Arabidopsis thaliana: one gene and its partner. The protein of the gene in region 1 interacts with the protein of each later gene in a pairwise test. Each region holds a gene or a part of one and is shown in the gene's direction. Other genes may lie near its edges.

Region 1 (3,755 bases):
TCTTTCTCCTCCACAAACACAATCGGGTCGACCCGGTTTCTCCCACTCGCCGATTTCGGAGTCGCTTCGCCGCTCGAAATCCCTTTTAGTCTCGCTTCCATCTCCTTTCCCCAAACCCTAGGCTGTTGTTGTTGCGTCGCCGCCACCGCCGCCGTAGCTGTAATCGAACTGTTTGATCTTCCGTAAAGCATTTTAAACCGTTGATCCGATTCGAAATCCGACTTTACCGACGACGACGACGGATTGTTCTTGATCGGACCTTGTCCTTGTCCCTGACCTTGTGCCGCCGTACACGGCGTACAATGCCGGTAAGCTCCTGATGCTTTCAGAGCCATATCTTTGAGCTGATATTGAATTGACGAAAATACCCTCAATCAGAAGAGAGAATTACGAAAATTGGAGACGGAGGAGAAGAGTGAGTTTATTTCAATTTACCTGAGATGTTAGAGATTTGGCGTTTTTAGAATCTGGATCGTCTGGTTGACCGGAGGATTCATCGCCTGCTCGCTTCGAACGAGCTATACACGTCAGCATTTTCCGGTGACTGGCTTGGTCTTTGATTTGAGATTTTTTTTCTTTCTCTTTTTGGATACGGAGAGAGAGAGACAGAGATGGTGTCAGTTTCTTCTACTTTGGTTTGGGTTCGGTGCTCTTTTTATGTTTTATTCTCTCTTTTTTTTTATAATTTCTGCTTAAGAAACTTTAAACCGGGATTACCGGTTTCCAATAAAGGTTCCGCGTCTCACTACGGTAATTACGCAATCCGGTGGTTAAAATTTCGAAAGTGAAAAAAGTAAAAAGTTTTGGTCTTGCATAAGGTAAGGTAAATCATTTTTGTTTGTTTACTGATTAGCTAAACTTGTACAGAGGTTAGACTATATACATGATTTTTGGCCTGTGGATTTAGACTTTCAGAGGTATCAAAGGTCGTTCTTCACACTCAAGTAGCCAAGTGTGCTGCAAGATTTGAAGTTAATCGATATGTATGCAAAATTTGACTCTGACTTTTGAGAAACCTAAAACGAAATAATTTATTATGTGTGGTTCTAAGCTAGATCACAATAATAAAAAGTTGTTCTTAGCATTATTCATTAAATGGGTACTGTAGTGTGTTGTTCATAACGCTTCTGATGGCAACTCATTGACATTTAATTTAAGGATAGCAATATGTTCCGTCCGACAATATTTATGTATGTGACGTCTTCGTCTACATTACATTTCAAGTGAATAATGATCCAACGACTCGAAAATATTAATAGTGTAAGTATTTTTGTTGTTGTTGTTGTTGTTGTAAATTTGGTAATGTACTAAACTGAAAATTAAAATGTTTTGGCAAAGGGTGGTGGTCCAAGACTTGTTTAGTTTACAAACAACTCTTCAGTATTTTTCTTTTTTTTCGACCAGCCACTATGGTCTTGTTATCGTTGAGTGTCAATATAACCTTTCTGAAACATTACACTAGGGTCACTAAGATAAATTGGTCTCTTCTCCACTTTTATTATTTCATATACAAATTTGTATGTACCAAGATCTTATCCACAAAATTTCGTTTTTCCCAAAACTATTATAATATTATTAAAGAGGTCAAAATGGTTTGTGCTTGTTTACAATATATTTAAGTTTTTTTTTGCTAAGTTTCTTACAACATTTCAAAATGCATGACAATGATTTTACTTAACTCATTTAAGCAAATAACTTCGCGATACAAACAAAAATCAAGTTACTATTATATAAAAATCAAGATAGAAACTGTAGAATAATCTATATAATTGTTGAGTACAAACTTTACAACTTAGCCGAACTATTGATTAGAGTTCATCGGGAAATGTCATATTTGAGTATTGTTGGTGGACTCGCAAATGAACAATTTAGACCACCAAATAGAGCTACATTTTCTTATGGTGAAGACTCAAAATCGGTTTGGGTTTAGCGCATAGATGGGCTTTAGTTTCGGCCCAGTGAAACTCTGTCTCAATCCTTCTCACCTGTAAACTTAAAAAAAGAAACGAAGAAGCTCTTTTTCTCCCCTCTGAAGAAGAAAAGCAAAATCCACGAGAGAAACAGATAGAAAGTTGCAAAAGTGCGTTCGATTTTTGCTTCTTCTTCTGTTTCGGATTCGGATTTGGATTTGGAATCTGCTCCTTTAGCAGAACCAGAGGAAATGGTGACGTACGTGAGCGCGTTGTTCTACGGATTCGGAGGGATAGTCGTCGCCGGAGTGGCGCTGCTCGTGGCTTTCCAGGAGAAGCTTGTGTACGTCCCAGTGCTTCCGGGTTTAAGCAAGTCTTATCCGATCACTCCCGCTAGGCTCAATCTCATCTACGAAGATATTTGGCTTCAATCATCCGATGGTGTACGTCTCCACGCTTGGTTCATCAAGATGTTCCCTGAATGTCGAGGTCCACACTCTCTTTGATCATTGAGTCTCCTTTCGATTCAGTTTTTTTTTCCTGGTAGATTTGATTTTACATTTTCGAATAAGCTTTTGAATCTACTGAATTTTGAGGGATTTTAGGTCTTGATGTCTCTGTCTTTAGCTAGGTTTTGGATTCCTTTTCTCAGATTTGTGATCCCTAAGTCATTTTAGCTTTAGTTTGGAACTTATCTGTCACCTAAAATCTAGTTGCTTGTGGTTGGTAGCTTTAGCCTAATTCGAAGTCTTTCTAATAGTTTATGTTTGGCATGCAGGTCCAACCATTTTATTTTTCCAGGAGAACGCTGGAAGTATCCTTTCCAGAGCCATTTCTTGGTTTTTGTTTGTTTATATTTGTATGCTCTAAGGAACCTATTTTATGTTCCATGTCTGTTAGCTGGGATACTTTGTCTTGTTACGACCTTGACCTTAGAATCCCAGACATCGCTCATCGTCTGGAGATGGTTCGCATCATGATACAAAAATTGAAGTGCAATGTATTCATGCTTTCATATCGCGGGTTAGTTTCAGTTTGCTGGTTTCTGGTCTATCTCTTATATAAATTGTTTGTTTTTGAGTCTAAACCTTGGATCTGTTTATACAATGCTTATTGATTTTCCCGTGCAACCAGCTATGGGGCAAGTGAAGGCTATCCTTCACAACAAGGTATCATAAAAGATGCTCAGGTTTGCTTGTCTCCCTAAATTTATCCACATATCTCTTCTGTTGCGTCTCCATGTATTCATTATCCATTTTCTTGCCTGATATTTTTTGTTAGGCTGCATTGGATCACCTTTCTGGAAGGACTGACATTGATACATCTAGAATAGTTGTATTTGGAAGGTCCCTTGGGGGAGCTGTTGGAGCTGTGCTTACCAAAAACAATCCAGATAAGGTACTATTAGTACATATTGCTATTGGTAGCATTTCATGAGTAGGGAAAATGTATATTTTATTAGAAGAGAGACAGTATAGGCCAAGTACCAGCCGCCAGCTCTGTGGATGTTACTGTTTAAAGGGAGAAGTATTATTGAGAGTCCCACATGGTTACGAATGAGACTAACAAATGCCTTATAAATTATAACGCCTAAGGGCACCTTCCTCTCTCCTCTAGGGGCTTGGTTTGGATGGCTTCTTATCAGTATATTAATGAGATTCTGGTTACTGTTGCAAATTATTATAACTCATGGTCTTTGGCAGATGACCTGGAGTCCAATTGTATAAAAATTTCTAGAGTACCTCTTTATTTAGATTCTAGTCACTTATCATCAGTAACAATCTACGCGGTTTGTACTATCTGAATATAATTATTTTTTGTGTTAAAGTTTTAGTCATCTGGCAA
Region 2 (3,755 bases), 6.6 Mb from region 1:
AGAGGTGGCAGAGTAGGTAGCTCAGAGGAGGGGTGTTTGGGTGTGCCTGGATGAGATTCCCATTCGAAAGGGACGGCACCGGCGGCTCCGTCGTAGTAGTAGATTCTAAAGGAAGGACAAGCAGCTGATACCGACGAAAAACGTTGTTTGGTCGACGGTAGCTTACCGGAGAAGGTGGCGGTGTCTTGCTTTTTCAGTGAGAGTGAAGCTGCCCGCTCAGATCCCGCGTTTGGCATTATTGTCTTGGGAGAGTGAGAGAGAGAGAGGGAAGGAAAGAGAGGGAGAGATGTGTGCATGAGACATATGGAGTCAATCTATCATGTATATATGGGTGCCTGGTGTCTTTGGTACGGTTTTTACTTTTGGGCTTATTTGTTTGGCTTTGGTGTCTATAGAAACTATATATTAAAAGCAAAATGTAATAATTAATGATAGTGAAATAATAGTTTCAATAGTGCGGTTAATTAGCTCTCATAGTTAGAACTTATAAAGATACATCTCGAAGTGTGTTGGTCCAATCCTACAAAGGCAATAACCACTCGATGGATATATAAAGTCATCACAACTTATTAGACCCTTGAACACTAAGTAATGCTACCGGGTACAAAAGAAAACACTCACATATGAATAATGAGGAGATCTAAATACGTCATACTCAAGGCAAGATATTTGTATCACATGTATATAGCAATTAACGATTCATCCATGAGAATATTTACATTACAAGCCAACATATACATAACTTCAACACAAACATGTCATTGATGAGTAGATTTTATTAAGAAAGGTGTGGTTATTGTAGAAGCATTTATTTGGAGAGTAGATAGGACCATTGATGAAAACAATATGAATTGAATAATTGGTTTTTATCTGATTAAATTGGAAAACAGTGTATGACTAAACGAGCCACGACCCATGCATTCCTACATGTGCTCCACATACCTCCGAGCATTGCTTTCCTTAGTATATACACACTGATAGACCCCATGGTCGGTCCATTCTTTTGCATTAATATCTTTCATGTGATATTCATATACTCGCTCCCCTCATCAGAATTTACATCTCTTCGTTAAAGGTTAAACAAGAAGACATAATTACATTTTCTTCCGTCCATTAAAGAAAAATGAGAGATTTTTTTTTTAAAAAATTGAAGGTCTTTAAAGTATTGAGAACCGTGACCTATTTATAAGGTTTAAAACCAACAACCAAATTTCTCATTTGTTGGGTTGTGAAAGATAATTTGGCGAATATCATACAAATGCGATTAATTACGGTTTAAACATCTCCATTAAGGTATTGACAGTATCAAAATAAGGAGAAGAAAATGGAACAAACAATTTTGTCCAGAGGTGTATAAACTTGGAGTATCATATTCTTATAGCAGATGAAATAAAATACTAGTTAGTTTATTTGTTTGGAAAACAAAATAGGTAATGTGAATATAGATTTTAAAAGTAATTTTGATACTACAGCCCTTTAATTAGATTGAAAATAATAATAATAATAAAGAAAGGACCAATCATATGTTTGACAAAAAAAAGGGCCAATCATATAATTCTGTTACCATGGATCTAAATGAGAGGAGACTCTTGCTTTTTCACAAAAAAAAAGAAAAAGAGAGAGAGAGCAGCAACCCCAGCAGCATCGAAGATCGTCGATCGTCGATCGGTTGCTCTCTTTCATTAATCAGATCTAATTGATACCCAAGCTTCTTCATCGGAGGCCGTGTAAGCTAGCTTCTTCTTCTTCATCTTTTCGTACACTTATTTGATTGTTGTTTATGTATCGATTCTATGGAATAAGAGCTTTTAGCACATATTAATTTGTCCCCAGTCTCGTCGTATATGCAGACCTATTTAGCGCTTATGGTTTGATTTAGATCTGTTTAATTTAGCGTTTCAACCTAAAATTGTTGACAACTCAAAATCGGAATCCCCCAAAAAGTGTCTGTTGACTTATGAATATGGCCATCTCCAAATCGGTTTTTGATCCATCATCATTAAATTTGGTAATATATAGATCTCACGAGGAAACATGGGCGGTAGATTTGGAGTCCTCCTAGTCCTCTTCCTCTTGAGCTGGTCTTGTCATGCTACAAACCCGATTCTTCTCGAACCATTCGGTAAGAACATTTTTGAAGGCATCTAGAGTCTCTCTTGCACCTGTTTCTAATTCAAATTTGTTAAAATCTGTTCACTGGATTATTTGAATACGTTACGTTTTCAGAAAGCATTCAATCTGATATAGACATCCTGATGTATGTTTTTTTTTTTAATTGGGTTTAAGAAGTTTGCTCCATATAATATTTGTGTTGATCTCCTATGTATGATTGTTTCGTTTGCAGAATCAGCTCATGATGACAACCAAGTCTGTGAACTATGTGACAAGTATGTCACGCTAGTCATTGATTACCTTCAAGACTACGACAACCAGAATGAACTCGTTGAGGCCCTTCATATCAGCTGCTCTCAGATTCCTCCTCTCAAAAAACAGGTCTTCATTGAGTCCTTGGTTGTTTTTGCTTTCTCTATTCCTTTTCTCAGACGTGGTTATATGTTAACTATGCCCAACTCATGTGTTTGTTGCAGTGTCTTTCAATGGTAGATCATTACACCCAACTTTTCTTCACACAAGTCTCTACTATCAAATCAGACCAAATCTGCAAACGGCTTAACCTCTGTCAAGCTGTGACACCGGCCTTTGCCTCTCAAGTCCATCAAGGAAACTGCGAGGCTTGCCGCGAGACTGTCTCTGAGGTTGTCACCAAACTCAAGGATCCTGAGACTAAGGTTTGCTCAACCTTCATTCCTTCTATTATCACATACCTATTCTGTGTCGCAAACCTTAGGCTTAGCACTAAGAATTATATCAGTTAGAGATATTTATTATTGCTGCTGAAGATTGACTTTTGCCTTGTGAATGTTGCAGCTGAAGATAATTCGGTTACTTCTCAAGGAATGCAAGTCGCTTAACAATTACCAGGACAAGGTAGCTAACTAATAAAGAATGCCCGCAAAGCTCTCTCTATTTAAGCTGAGTTTTGTGATACTTTTATGGATCATCATCAGATAATAACAATGTGTTTGTTTATGATGGTGAATAGTGCAAGAAGATGGTATTCGAGTACGGGCCTCTGATGCTTACGGATTTGCAGAAGTTTCTGGAGAAGAAAGACGTGTGCACTATCCTCCACGTCTGTCCAGGTCCAGCCACCCACCGTGACTACGTTCCTGCGGTGGAGTCATTGGCAGATTCGTAAATTCGGCCACCTTGGTTTTGTCGTCATTCACACTAATACCATGCCATGATCGTGATGCTAATTTAATTTGGTAACCCGGTGGTCATGTAAATACTGATTGATATATTAAAAACATAACTACACGATTGATGATTCTTGTGTGATTTGAAAAGAACGCTGTCTAAAGGCCCATTGTCCATCGATGGGCCTTTTTGCTAATTTCTACATTGCCCATGTTGTGTAGTCTGATTTTCGCTAAAACGTTACGTTGATGCGTGTACTCAATCACTCGCCCACCATTTTCTTCTGTGAAACAGTTGGCAAAAGTTAGGGGCCGCCAAGCTGGTTTAAACTGACCCACAAGCGAATAAATGTCAGACACGTGTAAAGGACAAAGAGAGCAAGTGTCACCGTATCTATAAAAGCTAACATTAGAGGATATTCTTGCTTACGTGTGACATCGTCACTGGTACATATCATCTAAAGGAATCTTTGATCAACACTACTCTGGAAAACA

What was found. Proteins that work in one complex are often made in the same cells at the same time.
Region 2: the proteins of WAV2 (region 1) and AT5G01800 interact in a protein complementation assay, tested with the Arabidopsis thaliana proteins (one large-scale study listed by BioGRID).

Annotation. Positions count from the first base shown.
Region 1 is NC_003076.8:6,944,722-6,948,476, reverse strand, and holds the start of WAV2 (alpha/beta-Hydrolases superfamily protein), read left to right. Parts: upstream 1-1,962; 5' UTR 1,963-2,161; coding exon 2,162-2,399; intron 2,400-2,688; coding exon 2,689-2,724; intron 2,725-2,854; coding exon 2,855-2,933; intron 2,934-3,044; coding exon 3,045-3,099; intron 3,100-3,191; coding exon 3,192-3,308; intron 3,309-3,755. Other genes in the region: BRXL4 (BREVIS RADIX-like 4), read right to left, coding at 1-344, 436-534. UniProt on the Arabidopsis thaliana protein: Involved in the regulation of root growth. Involved in the suppression of the root bending in response to touch stimuli, gravity and light. Negatively regulates stimulus-induced root bending through inhibition of root tip rotation.
Region 2 is NC_003076.8:305,388-309,142, forward strand, and holds the start of AT5G01800 (saposin B domain-containing protein), read left to right. Parts: upstream 1-1,551; 5' UTR 1,552-1,727; intron 1,728-2,019; 5' UTR 2,020-2,034; coding exon 2,035-2,122; intron 2,123-2,344; coding exon 2,345-2,493; intron 2,494-2,588; coding exon 2,589-2,789; intron 2,790-2,928; coding exon 2,929-2,988; intron 2,989-3,103; coding exon 3,104-3,259; 3' UTR 3,260-3,755. Other genes in the region: AT5G01790 (uncharacterized protein), read right to left, coding at 1-296.